Linked DNA regions of Arabidopsis thaliana. The protein of the gene in region 2 purifies or fractionates together with the protein of the main gene of each other region. This does not show direct contact. Each region holds a gene or a part of one and is shown on either strand. Other genes may lie near its edges.

Region 1 (3,983 bases), on a different chromosome or scaffold from region 2:
GCATGGACAAATGGGGTATGTTCATATCGATGACGTTGCACGAACCCACATAGTCGTTTTCGAACACGAAGCAGCTCAAGGCAGATACATTTGTAGCTCTAACGTTATCAGTCTAGAGGAACTCGTTTCATTCCTATCTGCTCGTTACCCATCACTCCCTATCCCCAAGAGGTTTGACACTGACCCTTTAAACTAAACCATCTCTCAAACCTTGTAAAATTTTAAAATCATAGATCATGATGATACTCTGTTTGAAAATTTCAGGTTTGAGAAACTAAATAGGTTGCATTACGACTTTGACACCTCGAAGATACAGAGTCTCGGGCTCAAGTTCAAGTCCCTTGAAGAGATGTTCGATGACTGCATTGCCTCATTAGTCGAGCAAGGCTATTTATCTACTGTTCTTCCATAACTCTTGGACTAGAGAATATGTGCAAATAAGATTGGTCTGAAATAGTAGTCATGTGGATTCACAATGAAAGAATGGGATTGGAAAACATGAAATCAAAGATTACAAACGATATAATCTTTACTTGTTTATGAACCAAATCATAACATATTTCTTCTCTCCAAGTTACGCTTTAAGACGAAAATCCCTCCGCAAGAAAAATCAAATGGATAAAGATTTCTCAAAACAATTACTGTAGCCAGAGACAGGGAACATACTTTAACTGCATAAGAATGCATAGATGATGAATAAGACTACTTATCGATTAGTAGCCTGAGCGATTATATTACTTATCGAACTGGCCTCCTCTTTTGCAACCTCCACCAGTTGATCCTTTGACAACATAACAGACAGAGACTGTCATTTCTCAAGAAAAAACTACTACACTAATATTTTCATGTCGATGACTTAAACATACAACTCAGTACCTGAGCGGATATAATCCTGGCTACTGTTTTCTTGCTTGACTCTTGAAGCTCCCCAGCAATCAAGAGCTCATCCAATATGTAATATGCCTAAGAAAGCAACAAGAAATCCAGAAACTGTCAGCAAGATATAAAGATGCAGAGGATAGAGAATCAAGTGACGAATGGCAGAGTCCTTGAGTGTTTGCAGCATGCTATTACCTTGTGGAAGTTAAAAATCAAATCGAGTTCACACACCTGAAGGTCATCAGATAAAACAATTCCTTATCATAATTTAGAGGTTCCGTTAAGGTAAGAGATAGTAAAGGTGGAATCTCAGCAGGTGCTGGTTTTTTTGGTACTCACACTTCCAAAATAGCGATCGAGAATCTCAACATAGTGATGAATGATCTCAAGGACCTCTAACTCGTTATCCTCCTGATCAATGCACATGCAGAAGTAGAGACTTGCATATCTTTTGTAAACAACTTTGTATCCTCTCCATTCAACAAAATTGCAGAGCTTTGGACCTCGATTCAGAATCACTCCACTGAGTTCACGTATAACCTATATACATAGCATGTAAGATGAGAGATGTATGCTAAAGCATAACAAGGTGTGAATGAAGCTCAATACATACCTTAGATCTTTCCTTCTGTGCATAAGGAGAATACCATTTGGTGAGCCTTACCTTTCCTTGCCGGCTAACTAGAAGCACAAAATGTATCTGAAAACACACAAATCAAAAACACACCATTGGTTTCTTATTAGGATCATCAACTCACCAGCTTAAGAAAGAGTCCAACAAACAAAGGTTTCAAATTTGAAGCCATTGAACTGAACTAGGAGGATCGAAACTACGAAAAATCAAACCCAGAAGCTAGCATTATCAAACTAAAGTCACCAAATTTTCTATCTGCAAAGAATAATTTGAAGAGAAATATCTGAAACCACCGATCAAGAGCAGATCCAAGTATCAAACTAATGAAGAAGAAGCATAAGAACGAATCGGAGATGCGAAATTCAAATCCAGGGCAGCATTCGTAAACACAGAATCGAAGATCGAGCATTGTTACCATGATTTCGTAACTCAAGACGGGACAAATCTGTAGTAGCGAAATCCAGAAACTGATAATCGATGATCCTCAACAAGAAAAAAATTCTCTTTGCTCAAACTGTCAAACATGTCGAGTGCCAGGGGTATAATTGTCATTTACATAATTAAAAACGGATTGCATTCCGGGTCGGATCCATGCAAACGGATTGCATTCTCAGCTAATTTTGTTCCATTATTGCAATTATCTTCTTAATCTTATCGAATAGACCAGGGCATTACACATTAAACGTAGCAATTATGTCAAAAGATTTTGAATGAAAATAATTCTTCAATTAATCTTATAGAATTAGTTTCTTAGGTATCAAATTTTTTAATTGTTCTTATACTTGGTGCTGGGTCAAACAACAGAAAAGTATAAGCAATTTTTTTATAACTAAGAATGAAAATATAAAATGCAAATGTAAAGGTAAGTCCATAATCAAAATAGACATAAACAACAGTTTTGATAAGACCCAACAGAAATAACTCCTGACTAACGTGAGCAGCGACTAATGGACACAATTGTGAAGTTATGAACATACTTAATCTCTCACATAAGCTTGTTTTTATTTAACCTTGGAGGGAAGGCATATTCTCTTGCATGCAGGCTTTATTTTTATTTTCTTTGATTTTTGTTTTTCTCAAGTTTCAATGTGTTTTGAAGTTGACATCATCATAGATATTAGGGTTTTAGTTGTTCTCCCAAAATATTCTTTCCCTTCTCTGCGAGACAGTGGAAGTTCAGTTTTATCACAAATTAGAACATGTTTATATGACAATAATCGGAAGATTTAGTTAGAGCCTTAATGTGTGAACATCAATTTACGAATATAATTAAAGTCCATTTTCTCCGTATTACTCACCTAATAATTAGGGGGGAAATGTTATTTAATACCTGAACTTACAAAAAATGGCCAAATTAACCGTGAATTCGTGAAATGGCCGTTTTATCTCTCAACAAAAAGTTGACTTCTATTTTAACCTTTAAGTTTGCGTTGACTCGGTTTAATAAACCACCGTTAAAAATCCTTCTAACAGCGTAATTAACAGCCGTTACAGAACATCCGTTAAGGTGATACGATGACGTTTTGTGCTATCAACAGACTTCAAAGTCGACGAAACCTCTGAAAAATCTCCAAATCAAAACCCAAATCCTAAAAATCATTCTCTCTCAAATTCGATCTGCTTCTCCTTCCGGCGTTGTTTTAGCTGCATCTTGTGCTCCCTCTTCTCCGCCACAAGACTCAGATACCACATTCGTTTCACCCCCAACTTCTTCTCCAATTTCATCTCTTTCTCCTCGCGGTGGTGCTTCGACTCCATCTCCCACCAAATTCTCTGATTCGTGAAGCATTGGAGATCCAATCCTCATAACGACGCCATTCTTTCTAACTAATGGCATTTCAGAAAACGAATTGAAGCAATTAGGGTTTCGATTTTGATTTTGGGGGCAGGATTAGGTTTCGATTTGGGTTTAGGGTAATTGATTTTGTTTTGGGAATTTCTATTCTCGATTTTGATTTCTCTTTAGCACAAAACGTCATCGTATCACCTTAACGGATGTTCTGTAACGGCTGTTAATTACGCTGTTAGAAGAATTTTTAACGGTGGTTTATTAGCCCGAGTCAACGCAAACTTAAAAGTTAAAATAGAAGTCAACTTTTTGTTGAGAGATAAAACGGCCATTTCACGAGTTCACGGTTAATTTGGCCATTTTTTGTAAGTTTAGGTATTAAATAACATTTTTCCCTAATAATAACATTTTTCACGATTAATATGGTCGATTTGACATTTTTCTGTAAGTTTAGATATTAAATCACAAATTAATACTATTTTTTTTTTATGAAACTTACCAATTCTATTCATAAAAACAAACAGAAAAAGGAAATTTAAGCGTTCGTTTTCTTTTTTCACACACCAAGTTTTAAGAGAAACAAAAAATAAATAAATAAAACCTAATATTCGCATTTCGCAACCGCTATAGCTAGTAGCCTAGTAGTTTGAGGTCAAACACGCAAACGCAACAAAAGGTGTC
Region 2 (7,724 bases):
TCATGATGAACGAGAGGTGGTTCACTTCTTCCTGTCTATAACGATTTGGTTTAAGAGATTTGATATGTTGATTATACACTAGTATGTAATATGAGGATAGATTAAAAAAAACTTACATGACGGATGACGTAAGGGCGAACAGCAAATCCAATGGCTACCCCGAGAATGCAGGAAAGGACAATCCCTATTGACCAAAGAGAGTATGTCCCCAAATCTGAAACAGTGAAAGAAGAATCGTTGAAGTTTCCAAAGGCATGGTTAGTCAAATCCACAAAAGATTACTTATAGAAAAGACATACTAGAATGAGAGTTTTCGAGGCAATCCTCCTCCTTAAGATTTATCTGGCGAATCATTTCATTTCCATGATCAGAAACAAGCAAACAACATCTTTGAGGAACAAAAGTTATCTCGAAATCGCTAGAGAAAGTAGCATTCTGTGCAGGTCCATCTCTGTGTCCAAATGCCTTTGAGATCCCTCCAGCAATGGTGGTTACAGAACCTACAAAGTCCAGTAAATAAAACATGCATAATCAAAATAAACTAAGTGGCTCTTTCAACAAACTAAGATTAGACAACAACAACAACTAGCATTTATACAAAAGGAATACAAGAAATGGATTAAACAAACACCTGAAGAGCTGATCTTCCGTATAGCTTTATTACTCTTATCAGCAACATAAACATTCCCTTTAGCATCCACAGCAAAACCACGGGGTTTGCTGAACCGGCTGTTACCAGCTTTACCATCTACATGACCCGAACTCCCATCCCCAGCAAACCGGTTTATCACACTATCTGCACAACCACACACACATACTCAAAGTGAGCTCAAACTTCAATTGAAAGAAAGATAAACAAAATTTTCACTTATAGTAAAGTTTAGAACTTTTATTTGCAGGTTGATCGTTTCACACACATACACACACATATTAGTATTGTGGTCCAATTTGAGATTACGGAGAAAGAAAAAATGAAGGTCAAGACTTGCAATCAAAATCAACAAGCTCTAAACATTTACTTATGCATCCATGAATTTACAACTCATATACAAACACAATTATAATGATCCGATTAATAGATGAGACAAAAGAGTGGTTTTGTGGGTGTTTACCAACGGACAAAGGAAAGGAAGTAGTGTAAAATGTACTGCCGGAAGAATCAAGGACGATCAGATTAGAAGATCCTGGTAAAGCATGAATCGTGTATGGATTCAGACCAGACTTATGGCCATCGACCACCGTTGTGACTTCGTACCCTTCTTCTAAAACTATCTTACCACTCACTGTAACAAAATCATGAGGAAAATTAAAAATTCGAATTTTGGGTTGGGAAATTCAACTGAATTAACAGATTTTTGAAAATATACCCAGATTGAAAACGACGAACAAGAAGAGAGACACGGACGAAAATCCCCAAGCCATGTCAAAATCGAGAGGAGAAAGCGACTGTTCTGTGTAACTTGTGTTGTGTTACTTATTTTTGCTGCTTAGCATCTTTAAAGGTTTTAAAAAGATACTAGGGCCTGAGCGATACTATGATGTGTTCAAGTGTAGGGGAGAATTTGTGTAACAACCAATGAAAGAGCGCGTATCATCGACCCTCTCAAATTTGACTAATAAAAACGGCCCAAGTAGGGCCCATTTATGTGTTTAACTATAAAGAAACGGCCCAGTCTATGTTTTTGTTTTGAGAGGATTGCTGGTCGAAACGTTACCGTTTAGGTGGAAATGGAAGTCATGTTTATACAACGCATTTAATTTGGCAATTATGGTTTACGAAGACTGAGAAGAAAAAAACGAGCATCGTCCATCGAGATCCAAATCCTCAGTTTCATTTTCATCTCTCTCTCTCGTATTGATCAGCTACTCGAAACTCCGGTAACGGATTTTCACAATCCCGGCGGCGAAACTCTTCTTCCCGGCTAAGTTTTCATTTTCTTCAGATTCCTCGTAAAGTTGCCGGTGGACCAAGGTCCAACTCTTGAACACCCCAAATCATGAATCCCTTTTCTTCTGGTACTCGTTTAAGGTAAATTGATTCTCTTCTTTCCTTTTTATCGTTTCTGTTTCAGGTTTCTTAGTCGTTGATCAGCTTACAAATGAAATTTGAATATAACATGATGTAATTGAGCTCGTTTTCATTTGAGGATTGAATTTTGTTGATTGGCCTGTTTCGAAGATGAATTTGGTATTGGTGTTTCTGATTCCATTTAGAATTTTGATTTTAGTCTAAGAACATGATCACACTAAGGATTTTTGGTAATCCTTTTGCTTAATTTAATTGAATATTGGATTGGTCATGTTGCTGTTGGGGTTTAATAGTGGAATCAGATCGGATTATTGTATATGGTTCTGAAGTTATAGTGGACATATGAGTATGATTCAGGGACATGATCCGTGCCATAAGAGCATGCAAAACAGCTGCGGAGGAGCGAGCTGTTGTAAGAAAGGAGTGTGCCGATATTCGAGCATTGATTAATGAAGATGACCCGCATGATCGGCACCGGAACCTTGCGAAACTCATGTTTATACACATGCTGGGTTATCCCACACACTTTGGGCAGATGGAGTGCTTGAAGCTAATTGCATCTCCTGGATTTCCAGAGAAGAGGATTGGATATCTAGGGCTAATGTTGCTTCTTGATGAGAGACAAGAAGTGTTGATGCTTGTCACAAATTCGTTAAAACAGTATCCTTACTAATTTCTAGTATTAAATCTTGATACCTTGGCCTTTGAATGGATTCTTCTTCTATGTTAAAAAATACTAGAGAACACTTGATTTTTGATTGCATTGCTGTTATGGGAATTAAGGAGAAAAATATTTAAATAGATTTGTTCCTGTTTAACCTTAAGTCACGTGCAGAGATCTTAATCACTCGAACCAGTATGTTGTAGGACTTGCTCTCTGTGCTTTAGGGAATATTTGTTCAGCAGAAATGGCCCGTGATCTTGCGCCAGAAGTAGAAAGATTAATCCAGTTTCGTGACCCTAATATCCGAAAGAAGGTGAAGTGTTTTCTAATTCATATACAGGGTCTCCTGGAGTTTAGTCGCTTTTTTTTTTTCCTTCATTGCCTTTACCATTTATGTTGTATTATATGCAGGCGGCGCTTTGCTCTACTAGAATAATAAGGAAAGTTCCAGATCTAGCAGAAAACTTCGTAAATGCTGCTGCTTCCTTGCTTAAAGAAAAGCATCATGGGGTTCTTATAACAGGAGTTCAACTTTGTTATGAATTATGCACGATTAATGATGAAGCCCTAGAGTACTTCAGAACGGTAAGTCTATAAATATTATACAGAACACTCTACTTATGCATACAGGAGCATCGACGTAATTTAATTGAATATGCGTACATATGATACTATATTACCTGTATGATGCTTTTGTGTACTATTTTTCTCTTGCAATAAAGTTTGATATCTGTGGTATTCACTTATAAATAGATTACTCTGCTGAAATGAGGCAGACAATCAGGTTGTTATATTGTTTTATCAGACCGTCAGTTTTGACAAACCCTTGTCTTTGTTTTGTCTCTGCAGAAATGCACAGAGGGACTGATAAAAACTTTGAGGGATATTACTAATAGCGCATATCAGCCTGAGTATGATGTTGCAGGGATCACAGACCCTTTTCTCCACATACGGTTGCTCAGGCTCTTGCGTGTTTTAGGCCAGGGTGATGCTGATGCTAGTGATTTGATGACAGATATACTTGCACAGGTTAGTCATAGTTTAGCAAGTGATTCTGGATATGGTTGACCATCTTCACATTTGCGATGTAATTCCTTTGTTAAACATCAACGGTTTATGGTTTTTGTTCCAGTTACCTTACATATATTTTTTCGGAAAAATGTTGTAAGATAGCTATGCTCTCTCATGTGCTGGAACTGATTCTGTTAAATATAGCATAATGGAGAAAGAATTTCATTTCGTTGATAGGGTTCATGGGCTATTATTCTCTTTGGTAGATAGAAGACTTATTGGTTACTGAGTTTTTGCCGTACTTGAATTCTCCCTCTTTTGATACCGGTCTTTGTTGTCATAGTAAGTGTTGATTTGTGGACGGACATATAAATCTGTAGGCTGCGCCAATCCTTTTCTATCTCACCATGATGAATGCATCCTGCGTCTGTTACATGCTTTGTTTTGGAAATCTTTTGAGTTCAAAGTCAGGGATCTACTGTCGGATACTTTGTTATCCTGGTTCTTTGATATTTATTCTCGTTGGTTTCATGCTATTGTAGGTGGCAACAAAAACTGAATCAAACAAAAACGCAGGGAATGCGGTACTCTATGAGTGTGTTGAAACAATCATGGCCATTGAAGACACCAATAGCTTGCGTGTGCTTGCTATCAATATCTTGGGAAGATTCTTATCTAACCGCGACAATAACATCAGGTTCAACCCCCTACACCTCAATTTTATTTGATAATAGTATGGTATTATATATGTTTGTAATGGAACTAGCTTACTTGTATTTTTCTTCTGTCTATCATCTTTCTTTGGATGTGCTTAACTCTATGAAGCACACAATGCTCTTCTGACCAACCAGCGTTGCCTTTTCTAATCTTGATTTCGTTTCTCTCAAAAACGCTGCATTCCCTTATGAAATTCATACTTTCGTTCTCTCAGATATGTTGCATTAAACATGCTGATGAAAGCTATCACTTTCGATGATCAAGCAGTGCAAAGGCACAGAGTTACAATTTTGGAATGTGTGAAGGTATTAGTATTACCAGGAAAATATTTTATACAATGTTAACTGCTAAGTATATCTTAGAGAAATAAAAAATGCTAATTTGGTTTCTGCTTCCATAACAATATAGGACCCAGATGCTTCTATCCGGAAAAGAGCTCTTGAGCTTGTCACTCTTTTGGTGAATGAAAACAATGTCACACAACTGACAAAGGAGCTAATTGATTATTTGGAAATCAGCGACGAAGATTTTAAGGAAGATCTTAGTGCAAAAATTTGTTTTATCGTTGAAAAGTAAGTATTCTATTTAAGAAATAGAATGACTACTTACTCTGAGAAAGTTGGGGGTCAGGATGATTGGAAAGTTACTGTGAATGTCTAGTTGATTGAAGTTTTTGTTGACTTTTTAAATTTTTTGATAATGTAGGTTTTCTCCAGAAAAACTATGGTACATTGATCAGATGCTCAAGGTTCTGTGTGAGGTATGGATTCAAACGCGAGAATATGCTCTGTAACGTGTTACCAGTTAATTGCACTCTTTGAAATCGTTTGAGAGTTTATATCTGCTTAAGCTAATTTCAAATGCATTGTTTGTATCTGTCATAACCTATTGTCATCTATTCCATGTTAGTAGGCTGGAAAGTTTGTGAAAGATGATGTGTGGCATGCACTTATTGTTGTCATAAGCAATGCATCAGAGCTTCATGGATATACAGTTAGGGCCTTGTACAAATCAGTCTTGACTTATTCGGAACAGGTAGCTATTTTCTAATGTTAGATTGTGCTCAGTCCTCAATCAGTTGTAACCCTTTCTAATATGGTTTCGTTGAGATGATAACCAGGAGACCCTTGTCCGAGTGGCGGTATGGTGCATTGGGGAATATGGTGATCTGTTGGTTAACAATGTGGGGATGCTTGGTATTGAAGATCCAATAACGGTGAGCATCACAATGGCAATCTTAATTCATTATTTGCTCCATGATAAATATGCAGATGCTTTTGCTTCTTGGGATTTCATTTTTGCTTTGAAAAATATGCAACGAGTATGTGACTGCCTTGAGCAGGTAACGGAATCTGATGCAGTGGACGTTATCGAGGATGCCATTACTCGCCATAACTCAGATTCGACTACAAAAGCAATGGCATTGGTTGCTCTACTGAAGTTGTCATCCCGCTTTCCTTCTATTTCAGAGTATGTCTGACCTCGTTGTGCTATCTGTTTTTATCTCAACTCGTTCATCTGATATCTGCACTTATCCCTTTTCAACTCTACACAAGATGCATATGCGCACTAGTATATGAATAATAAATTTTGGTCTGTCTACAAGAAACTGTAGCGCGTTGCCTTCTGAAAAAAGATTAGAAATATATTATACATGTACATCCTGTCCTCAACTCTCTATTGATAATTAAAAAGTTTTCTAAAATTCAATGACAGGAGAATTAAAGACATAATTGTGAAGCAGAAAGGAAGCCTTCTCCTTGAAATGCAGCAGAGAGCTATTGAATACAATTCTATAGTTGACAGGCATAAAAATATCAGGTGGAATCCCTTGTGCCTCTCTTCCTCATCTATCTTCTAGTGTAAGTTTTTCATATTCTCTCTCCCTCAAAGCTCATGATAGAGGTATGTGTGCATACAGGTCTTCTCTGGTTGACAGAATGCCGGTACTGGATGAGGCTACTTTCAATGTGAGGAGGGCCGGCTCTTTTCCTGCATCAGTTTCAACCATGGCCAAGCCTTCAGTTAGCCTTCAAAATGGTGTTGAGAAACTTCCTGTCGCTCCTCTTGTGGACTTGCTAGACCTAGATTCTGACGATATCATGGCTGCACCTAGTCCATCTGGTACAGATTTCCTTCAGGATCTTCTCGGTGTAGACTTAGGTTCATCGTCAGCACAATATGGTTAGTTCTTTGGCGGTTCTACAGCTCTTGCGTTCATATTATGGCGTGCTCATCTGCTATGTGTCTCTGAATGAACAAGTTTTTAAAAAAATCATTTTCCTCATTGCCTTGCAAAAGGATAACTCATGTTTGGTCTTCCATTTTTTATCCAATGATTCAGGTGCAACCCAGGCTCCAAAAGCTGGCACAGATCTGTTGCTGGATATTCTATCAATTGGAACACCTTCTCCTGCACAAAACAGCACATCATCTATTGGTTTATTATCAATAGCTGACGTTAACAATAATCCCTCAATTGCGCTAGACACACTTTCTTCACCAGCTCCACCTCACGTAGCAACAACTTCGTCCACCGGTATGTTTGATTTGCTAGATGGTCTTTCTCCAAGCCCATCGAAGGAAGGTAGGAAAAAGTCTTAACCTGAAAAAGATCTGTATAATCATTGAAACTCTTTTACAAAGGTCAATAACAAGTTTTCCTCCTTATTGCAGCCACCAATGGTCCAGCTTATGCACCTATTGTTGCATACGAGAGCAGCTCCTTGAAGATTGAGTTCACCTTCTCAAAGACACCAGGGAATCTGCAAACGACAAATGTCCAGGCTACTTTTACTAATTTATCTCCCAATACTTTCACAGATTTTATATTCCAGGCTGCTGTTCCAAAGGTAATTACATCTATCTTCTTTTTTTGCTTTTTTCCCCTTTATTCATCTTTCCCAATTGATAAAGCAGTAAATAGATTTCAATTTTTTCTTTAACCTTCTCTTTCTTTTGTGTAACTTCCAGTTCCTCCAGCTGCACTTGGATCCAGCTAGCAGTAACACACTCCTGGCAAGCGGTAGTGGTGCCATCACGCAGAATCTAAGAGTCACTAACAGCCAGCAGGGGAAGGTATGGCACATTCTCTGTTCGTCTTTCTATCTAACTTTATGTCTTCAACATTCCGTGCTCAGCATTGATGAATAGCACTTGATGATCCACAACATAATCTATGCTCAAATAAAGATAGGCTGAGCCTGTGGATTCAGTGACTTAACATAACACTAAGGGTTTAATGTTTATTGCAGAAATCTCTTGTGATGCGCATGAGGATTGGGTACAAACTGAACGGAAAAG
Region 3 (7,626 bases), on a different chromosome or scaffold from region 2:
ATAGATATTACCGTAAGTGTAGGATTTAAGTAAGGAGAGATTGGAATGGGTTGATATGATATCATCACTGCTCGTACCTGCATACATGCGCAAACCCTGCAGACCAAGCAAAGTACGATATATCAGGACAATAGGTTAAAATTGGGTTTTGATCGAAACTTATAAGAATGGCACTTTGGATGGGGGATTCTTACGTGCAGTACACCATGTCAGAGCAACATGTGAGTATCTGAGAAGCTTCTGAAAGCTCATCCATACCGACAATACATGCAACTATGGAGAATATGCAAGCCACTTGGCTGAGGCAAACCATGAAACCCTACACAGCCAAAAAGCCAGCACAGATTACGAAACTTGTTTATCGTGTTTGTAATTGCTTGTGAGTGTCAGTAACAGGCATGGTCTGGGCAATGAGGATACTTACAATGATGCAGTTGTCACATTTTGTCGTTTGAATTTGGAACTCATCTTGCAGAAGAAAGCGAGTTGAGGCCACAGAGTTTGCAAAGCAGCAGAAGACCTGCGATTGATCTGCTATTTAGAAGACCAGAAATTTGCTAAAATTTCGCGAGGTTGCCTCACAAGTCACACCTAGGTATGACTGAGATTGTATGCATATGCTACAGGAAGCATTCAGATGCTGAAATCGAAATTTCTAGACTAGCTGTGTCTATAGAAAAGACTTCATTTTTGTTGTCCAAAAAAAAAAAAGACTTCATTTGAAGATAATAGCTAACAAAATCAAGTTTCTTACCTCAGTGGCAAGACAAAGTTGAGGACATTTGGCTTCTCCACACCTACCACTACAAGGCATGTAACCGGCACAGCAGACGTACCTGCGAGACAAAAAAAACAATCTTCTTAAACTAAGAAGATGGAATTGGAATGGAGCTATATGAAAGTGACTGAATGTGTGATATACCTTGACATATCATCGTAAAGCGCACGCTTGCGAAGCAAGTATGATGCACAAGGGGCACTGCAATGAGAAGAAGAAGAAACAAGACATTTCCATATGTATGCTAAACATATCAGACCCAAAGAGATACACAAATCATACAATGTCAAACTCCTAATGCACTGAAATTATCACATACAATGATCAGAGAAACTCATATTATCTGTGAAATTCAGATCACTCCATACACATTTCTTGATGAAATGAAAATCAAGCCGATCTAAGAATTTAAATCGAAGTCAACTCTTGGTCAATTCAAATAAACCAAGATCCGACTACTACAAATATCCAAATTCCAAATACAGAGAGAACAAGCAACGAAAAATCTCAGATCAATCGAAACTTACCACCACAACGCGAAGCAACAATCTGCGAACAACACAGAAATCGATCAAATCAACAACCAAAACCAATCCAACCCACAAATTTCAAAAAGAGAGAGTGAGAAATTACAAGGAGTATCGTTCTGGATACTGTGGGTAAGATCGGTATGCCAAACATTACGGAAGTTCTTACGAAGCTCCATCTTCTCCATATCCTGTTTCGGCATTTTCACAAGGATCTGATTTCGACGACGAAATGAGGTCAAGCGAGAGAGAAGCGATTTAAGGATCAGAGACTCTTCGCGAAAAGTCTTTGAGAATCTGATCCACAATCACATCTAAAAGCTGTTCTCTCACAAACGTGTTTCTGACTTCATCTCTCTCATATCGACAACTTGAGAATACAAATTCTTCTTCTCCCCTCCCCTGGATGGCAACTGGCGTTGACTAGACGAAGTCACGAGGCAATTTCGTCAAATATCAATAATACTAGGGTTAAACTGTAATTAGTTTTATTTTAACCCCGACCTATTACTTTTTGCAATTTCGTGTCTTTGTGTCTCTTGTCACTGATCGTCTCGGAGGAGAAGAAGTGTGGAGGTTGAAGAAGGGAGAAAATGAGCGGTCATGATTCTAAATATTTTTCGACTACGAAGAAGGGAGAGATCCCTGAGCTCAAGGAAGAGCTGAATTCACAGTACAAGGTTCTTCTTCTCCGTCTAATTTCATATATGGATCTGTGATCCGCCATTTTCACGATTCTAATCTCATCTCTTTCTCGTTCGTTGAATTATGCATAATCATTTTCTGGTAGATCTGTATGATTATGGATTCGAATTGATCGGTTAATTTTGTTGATATTTTAGTTTGAAAGATTGATGATGGTGTACGTTATAATGTTATGTGTTCAATGGTTCATTTGAAACTATGTAGAAATGGAATGAAATTCAGAATAATGGTTAATGCGGGGATGTGTTTAGATTGGGGGATCATAAGTTTTGAATATGGATCAATGCAGTGGTTGGGCGATAGAAACAGTTCTTCTTTGAGTAGATGGTCCAATGGTTGTATATGGTACTGATTGAAGATGATGGAATGCGTTTTTGCTTCAGTTTCCTAAATTCTCTTTTTTTCTTTATGTTCCTAGGATAAGAGGAAAGATGCTGTTAAGAAGGTTATTGCGGCAATGACTGTTGGAAAGGATGTTTCATCACTTTTCACTGATGTAGTCAATTGCATGCAAACTGAGAATCTGGAGTTGAAGAAGCTTGTTTACTTGTATCTGATAAACTATGCAAAAAGCCAGCCAGATCTTGCTATCCTCGCTGTAAATACTTTTGTTAAGGTAACACTTCAGCTACTTTGCTTATATAGCCTACCCAAACATAAAGACCTAACATATGGCAAGTTTCTTGGTCTTTCTCTGATTTTGGTGGATGGAAAATTATTTAAGAAACTCATCGTTATTAAGTTCTCGCTTTGTATTTGGCAGGATTCACAAGACCCAAATCCATTGATCCGGGCTTTGGCTGTGCGAACGATGGGCTGTATTCGTGTTGATAAGATTACAGAATATTTGTGTGATCCTCTTCAGAAATGCCTAAAGGTTGAGTTTTTAATGCTACCTTGTCACTGCACCTTGTAGCAAATATTTATGTCCCTCAAGAATTTTTTTATTCTTTGACTGATGACATATTTCTGTATTTTCTGGCATGTTGCAATTTTTTTATTTTTCAGGATGATGATCCATATGTCCGCAAGACAGCAGCTATTTGTGTTGCTAAACTGTTTGACATAAATGCTGAATTAGTTGAGGATAGGGGGTTCCTGGAAGCCTTAAAGGATTTAATATCAGACAATAATCCAATGGTTGTGGCAAATGCTGTAGCTGCCCTTGCAGAGATCCAAGAGAATAGTACTAGTCCCATATTTGAAATCAATAGTACCATCCTCACAAAGCTCCTTACAGCTTTGAATGAATGTACTGAGTAAGTCGTTCCTGATTTCCATCTCTTACTTTCACTCAGATTGTGTATGATTGACTAATTTTAGTCAGATCATATTAGGTTTTGTTTTCGGAGAACAGACAGGCTGGCCTAAATATTCACAGTAGGATAATCTGTTGAGTTGCGGACTTGCTTCTTGTGTTAAAGCATCAGTTTATCTATGCATTTTGTTCTGTATCTAACCTAAAATTGTGACAGAACTTTGTTGTTATTGAAGTTGAAGGTTTTCTGTGTAGATAAAGGACTCATGGTTTTGAACATTGGGGAAAGGGATCCATAAAGCGACTATTGTTTCCTTTTGCTGTATACATATTTATAGCTTTCAATTTTTAATACTGTTTGTGTTCTTCACAGATGGGGTCAAGTTTTTATATTAGATGCTTTGTCGAGGTATAAGGCATCTGATCCTCGTGAAGCTGAAAATATTGTTGAGAGAGTCACTCCAAGGTTGCAACATGCCAACTGTGCTGTTGTGCTTTCAGCTGTTAAGGTGACACTTTCAAAATATATACTTCTCTCTGGAATGTCACCTGTTCGCCAGTCAAAATTGTTTATGAAGTGTCAACTATATTCCCTTACATAATTTTCTAATGCCAGTCCTCTTTATTTCATTGCTTTCCAGATGATCCTTCAGCAGATGGAGCTTATTACTAGCACAGATGTGATTCGAAATCTTTGCAAGAAGATGGCTCCTCCCCTAGTTACATTGCTTTCTGCAGAACCTGAGATACAGTATGTTGCACTTCGTAACATTAACCTTATTGTCCAAAAGAGACCCACTATTCTTGCCCATGAAATCAAGGTAGCTTGATCCTGTCTCGTAGACTCTCCGAAATAAGCAATTGATATATTCTTATATTTGTTGATAATGCTTCATGGTTTTATTGCAGGTGTTCTTCTGCAAGTATAATGATCCGATATATGTTAAGATGGAGAAGTTAGAGATTATGATAAAACTTGCTTCTGACAGAAACATAGACCAGGTAATCCTTACTACACTTTTATCATCTGCCGTTTGTCCAAGTTATTTTGTTTTGGTGCACATCATGATGGTTTCTAGACCATTCCAATGTAGGTTCTTCTGGAGTTCAAAGAATATGCCACGGAAGTAGATGTTGATTTTGTTCGGAAGGCTGTTCGTGCTATAGGCCGATGTGCCATCAAACTAGAAAGAGCAGCTGAACGGTGCATCAGTGTTTTACTTGAGCTGATCAAGATCAAAGTAAACTACGTTGTGCAGGAGGCCATTATAGTCATCAAAGATATCTTTAGAAGATATCCAAATACGTAAGTTGATTTTGGCCTCCTGAAGTGCTGTAATTCTTTTTAATCTTGGCTATGTCTTTTAAAATAATGTGCAGGTATGAGTCCATAATCGCAACACTCTGTGAGAGTCTAGACACATTGGATGAACCAGAAGCTAAGGTAACAAAATTTGTCGTTTGGGTAGTGTATATTAGCTGGAAGCTTCTCCATCGCAAATATAATCGGTGAAACTCATACTTGTATTTGTTGGCATCTTGAAAGGCATCTATGATTTGGATCATTGGTGAATATGCTGAAAGAATCGACAATGCGGATGAACTTCTTGAAAGCTTCCTGGAGAATTTCCCTGAGGAACCAGCACAAGTCCAACTGCAGCTTCTTACAGCTACAGTCAAACTATTTCTGAAGAAGCCAACTGAAGGCCCACAACAAATGATTCAGGTTCTGCCATGACCATTATGAAGACTACCTTTTGCTCTCCTAATCGATTAAAGCGCATGTATTTGACGACAGGCCTGGCTTTTGCCATGTTTCAATTTTTCAGGTTGTCTTGAATAATGCTACTGTTGAAACAGATAATCCTGATCTCAGGGATCGTGCATACATCTACTGGCGTCTTCTATCGACTGATCCTGAGGTATGTTTTCTTAATATATTCTACTAAACTAGTTCAAGGACATTGGAGGATGAGCAACAATCATCTCTTTTACCTACAGTCATCAGTGCTCTTCTTTTGACTATAGGCGGCCAAGGATGTTGTTTTAGCTGAAAAGCCTGTGATTACTGATGACTCAAACCAACTTGATCCGTCGCTCCTGGATGAGCTACTTGCAAATATATCCACCTTGTCCTCTGTGTATCACAAGCCGCCAGAGGCTTTTGTAACCCGCTTGAAAACCACAGTTCAGAAAACGGAGGATGAGGATTATGTAGAAGGGAGCGAAACAGGATATCCCGAGGCATCTGGTAATCCGGTTGATGGTGCAGCTTCCCCGTCAGCTACCACAGGCTATGTCACAAAGCTAGCTGCTGCCCCAGCTCCTGTACCCGATCTGCTAGGTGACCTAATGGGGTCAGATAATGCTGCAATCGTCCCTGTAGATGAACCCACAACTCCGTCAGGGTGAGTTTTGAATGGTGAAAATTACATTAAAAGTCTCTCTCACAGTTGGGGTGTGCGATGGACTGGTTTTATTCAATCATATCTATTTGGATCACCTTGTTGTTTATAAAACTCATTGAATCACCTAATATTGTTTGCAGTCGTCCACTGCCTGTTGTCCTACCAGCATCAAAGGGTCAAGGTCTGCAGATTAGCGCTCAATTAACCCGACAAGATGGTCAAGTATTCTACAGTATGCTCCTCGAGAACAACTCGCAGTCACTTCTTGATGGCTTCATGATTCAGTTCAACAAAAACTCATTCGGCCTTGCAGCTGTCGGATCACTTCAGGTAATAGTAGTTGGATATGCTCTACATCTACGCCTATTATATATCCTGGATTCCTGAAACTGATGTCCAGGTTTTGTACTATTATAGGTTCCGCCTCTGCAACCCGGAGCATCTGCCAGGACAATGATGCCAATGGTATTGTCCCAAAACATGTCTACTGGCTCCACCAGCTCGGTATTGCAAGTTGCCGTCAAAAACAACCAGCAGCCTGTCTGGTACTTCGAGGATAAGATTGTACTTAACGCTCTTTTCTCAGAAGATGGTCGGATGGAGCGCGGAACCTTCCTCGAGGTAAAAGACTAATATATGATAAAGAGTTCATTAACAATACAGCACCATGTTAGTCATTGACTAATAGTGGAGAGGGCTTATGATATTAAGATGGGCGAGTAATTAGTGACAGATTTTGTGCCTTAAGAAGCCTGGGGGAGTTAGGGTGCTGTAGATCTTAACATATGATATGGTTTTCATCGATTTAAGTTTCTAGACTCAGTAAGAACTGAAGGAAGATATTGATTTCTGATCATAACTATATACCACAGTCTTAAAAACCAGTTCTTCTGAGTTATAAAACATTTGTTTTTTTGATTAGACATGGAAATCGTTACCGGATTCAAACGAGGTGCAGAAAGAATTCCCCGGGATAACCATCACGAGCGTGGAGTCAACACTTGATTTACTCGCCGCATCAAACATGTTCTTCATAGCAAAGCGTAAGAATGGGAACCAAGACGTCCTCTATCTTTCGGCCAAGGTACCAAGAGGCATACCGTTCCTGATCGAACTAACGGCCATAGTGGGTCAACCTGGTCTGAAATGTGCAGTCAAGACTCCAACCCCTGAGATCGCTCCTCTCTTCTTTGAAGCAGTCGAAATTCTCTTCAAGGCTTGATTTGATTTTACACTGCCCTAAGGTAAGCAAATTTCTTCTTTTAGTGTATGTAGTAAGTGAATTGTTGCCGACTTCTTGTTTCTAATTTTTGTGTTGGAACCCACTCGTTTTTTTATTCTCGTAAGAGCTTTGATTTTTGATGTTGTCGTTGCGTATATGCCCCAAAAGGTTTTTGATTAAACTAGTGTGATAATGACTTATTATCAGCAAATGCTATTTTTAGTGTTCAGTGACCGACATGAAATCAAAAAGTTTCCTAAGTGGAGCGAAGAGATTCGTACACGTAAACCAGTTGAGAATTTGGTACCTTCTTCACAACAGATAGGCGTAGATAGATAGATACTGGGCCCGTAATGCGACGTAGCAATTTCCTAATATCAATATCAATCATGATTTCCTGTAACATGCGGTTACAAAATAGCTTCGTCGAAACTAATCTTCTTTTAATTATCGATTGATTATTAAATCAATTCAAAACCAAAACTAATTGAAAATTTTAAAGCTTGAGGGGGACTAATAGTAACGTGAGATTGAAGTAATGCCACCGAATATAAGGGTTGAGTAAGGGCGCTACACGCCATCACATAAAAGGGATTATACTATCAATCAACTAATATTTTTGTAACTTAAAATGAAATACCAAAGTTTCGACATTATTGGTTTATGAAAGCTCACCATTGTATTTTAATTTGATCAAAACTATACATTTTAGTTGAGACCGTAAGTAC

The links.
Region 1: the proteins of GAMMA-ADAPTIN 1 (region 2) and AT4G35410 fractionate together in Arabidopsis thaliana (co-fractionation; one large-scale study listed by BioGRID). This does not show direct contact.
Region 3: the proteins of GAMMA-ADAPTIN 1 (region 2) and AT4G23460 fractionate together in Arabidopsis thaliana (co-fractionation; one large-scale study listed by BioGRID). This does not show direct contact.

The regions. Positions count from the first base shown.
Region 1 is NC_003075.7:16,830,520-16,834,502, reverse strand, and holds AT4G35410 (Clathrin adaptor complex small chain family protein), read right to left. Parts: upstream 2,165-3,983; 5' UTR 1,932-2,164; coding exon 1,929-1,931; intron 1,580-1,928; coding exon 1,493-1,579; intron 1,420-1,492; coding exon 1,219-1,419; coding exon of another isoform or gene 1,189-1,218; intron 1,111-1,188; coding exon 1,075-1,110; intron 964-1,074; coding exon 877-963; intron 782-876; coding exon 707-781; 3' UTR 501-706; downstream 1-500. Other genes in the region: DRL1 (dihydroflavonol 4-reductase-like1), read left to right, coding at 1-171, 265-412. UniProt on the Arabidopsis thaliana protein: Subunit of clathrin-associated adaptor protein complex 1 that plays a role in protein sorting at the trans-Golgi network and early endosomes (TGN/EE).
Region 2 is NC_003070.9:8,439,382-8,447,105, forward strand, and holds the start of GAMMA-ADAPTIN 1 (gamma-adaptin 1), read left to right. Parts: upstream 1-1,697; 5' UTR 1,698-1,997; coding exon 1,998-2,029; intron 2,030-2,072; exon of another isoform or gene 2,073-2,386; coding exon 2,387-2,689; intron 2,690-2,864; coding exon 2,865-3,006; intron 3,007-3,104; coding exon 3,105-3,278; intron 3,279-3,542; coding exon 3,543-3,722; intron 3,723-4,246; coding exon 4,247-4,401; intron 4,402-4,635; coding exon 4,636-4,726; intron 4,727-4,829; coding exon 4,830-4,993; intron 4,994-5,126; coding exon 5,127-5,181; intron 5,182-5,333; coding exon 5,334-5,456; intron 5,457-5,541; coding exon 5,542-5,637; intron 5,638-5,763; coding exon 5,764-5,891; intron 5,892-6,137; coding exon 6,138-6,242; intron 6,243-6,342; coding exon 6,343-6,605; intron 6,606-6,765; coding exon 6,766-7,008; intron 7,009-7,097; coding exon 7,098-7,273; intron 7,274-7,394; coding exon 7,395-7,499; intron 7,500-7,675; coding exon 7,676-7,724. Other genes in the region: AT1G23890 (NHL domain-containing protein), read right to left, coding at 1-31, 117-214, 300-500, 632-796, 1,113-1,283, 1,368-1,422. UniProt on the Arabidopsis thaliana protein: Subunit of clathrin-associated adaptor protein complex 1 that plays a role in protein sorting at the trans-Golgi network and early endosomes (TGN/EE).
Region 3 is NC_003075.7:12,243,171-12,250,796, reverse strand, and holds AT4G23460 (Adaptin family protein), read left to right. Parts: upstream 1-1,778; 5' UTR 1,779-1,898; coding exon 1,899-1,985; intron 1,986-2,428; coding exon 2,429-2,626; intron 2,627-2,661; exon of another isoform or gene 2,662-2,681; coding exon of another isoform or gene 2,682-2,684; intron 2,685-2,773; coding exon 2,774-2,887; intron 2,888-3,018; coding exon 3,019-3,269; intron 3,270-3,641; coding exon 3,642-3,777; intron 3,778-3,909; coding exon 3,910-4,089; intron 4,090-4,177; coding exon 4,178-4,270; intron 4,271-4,362; coding exon 4,363-4,574; intron 4,575-4,648; coding exon 4,649-4,712; intron 4,713-4,814; coding exon 4,815-4,994; intron 4,995-5,097; coding exon 5,098-5,190; intron 5,191-5,296; coding exon 5,297-5,676; intron 5,677-5,816; coding exon 5,817-6,006; intron 6,007-6,093; coding exon 6,094-6,297; intron 6,298-6,598; coding exon 6,599-6,898; 3' UTR 6,899-7,126; downstream 7,127-7,626. Other genes in the region: AT4G23470 (PLAC8 family protein), read right to left, coding at 78-96, 195-319, 425-520, 755-836, 923-979, 1,306-1,327, 1,412-1,508. UniProt on the Arabidopsis thaliana protein: Subunit of clathrin-associated adaptor protein complex that plays a role in protein sorting in the late-Golgi/trans-Golgi network (TGN) and/or endosomes.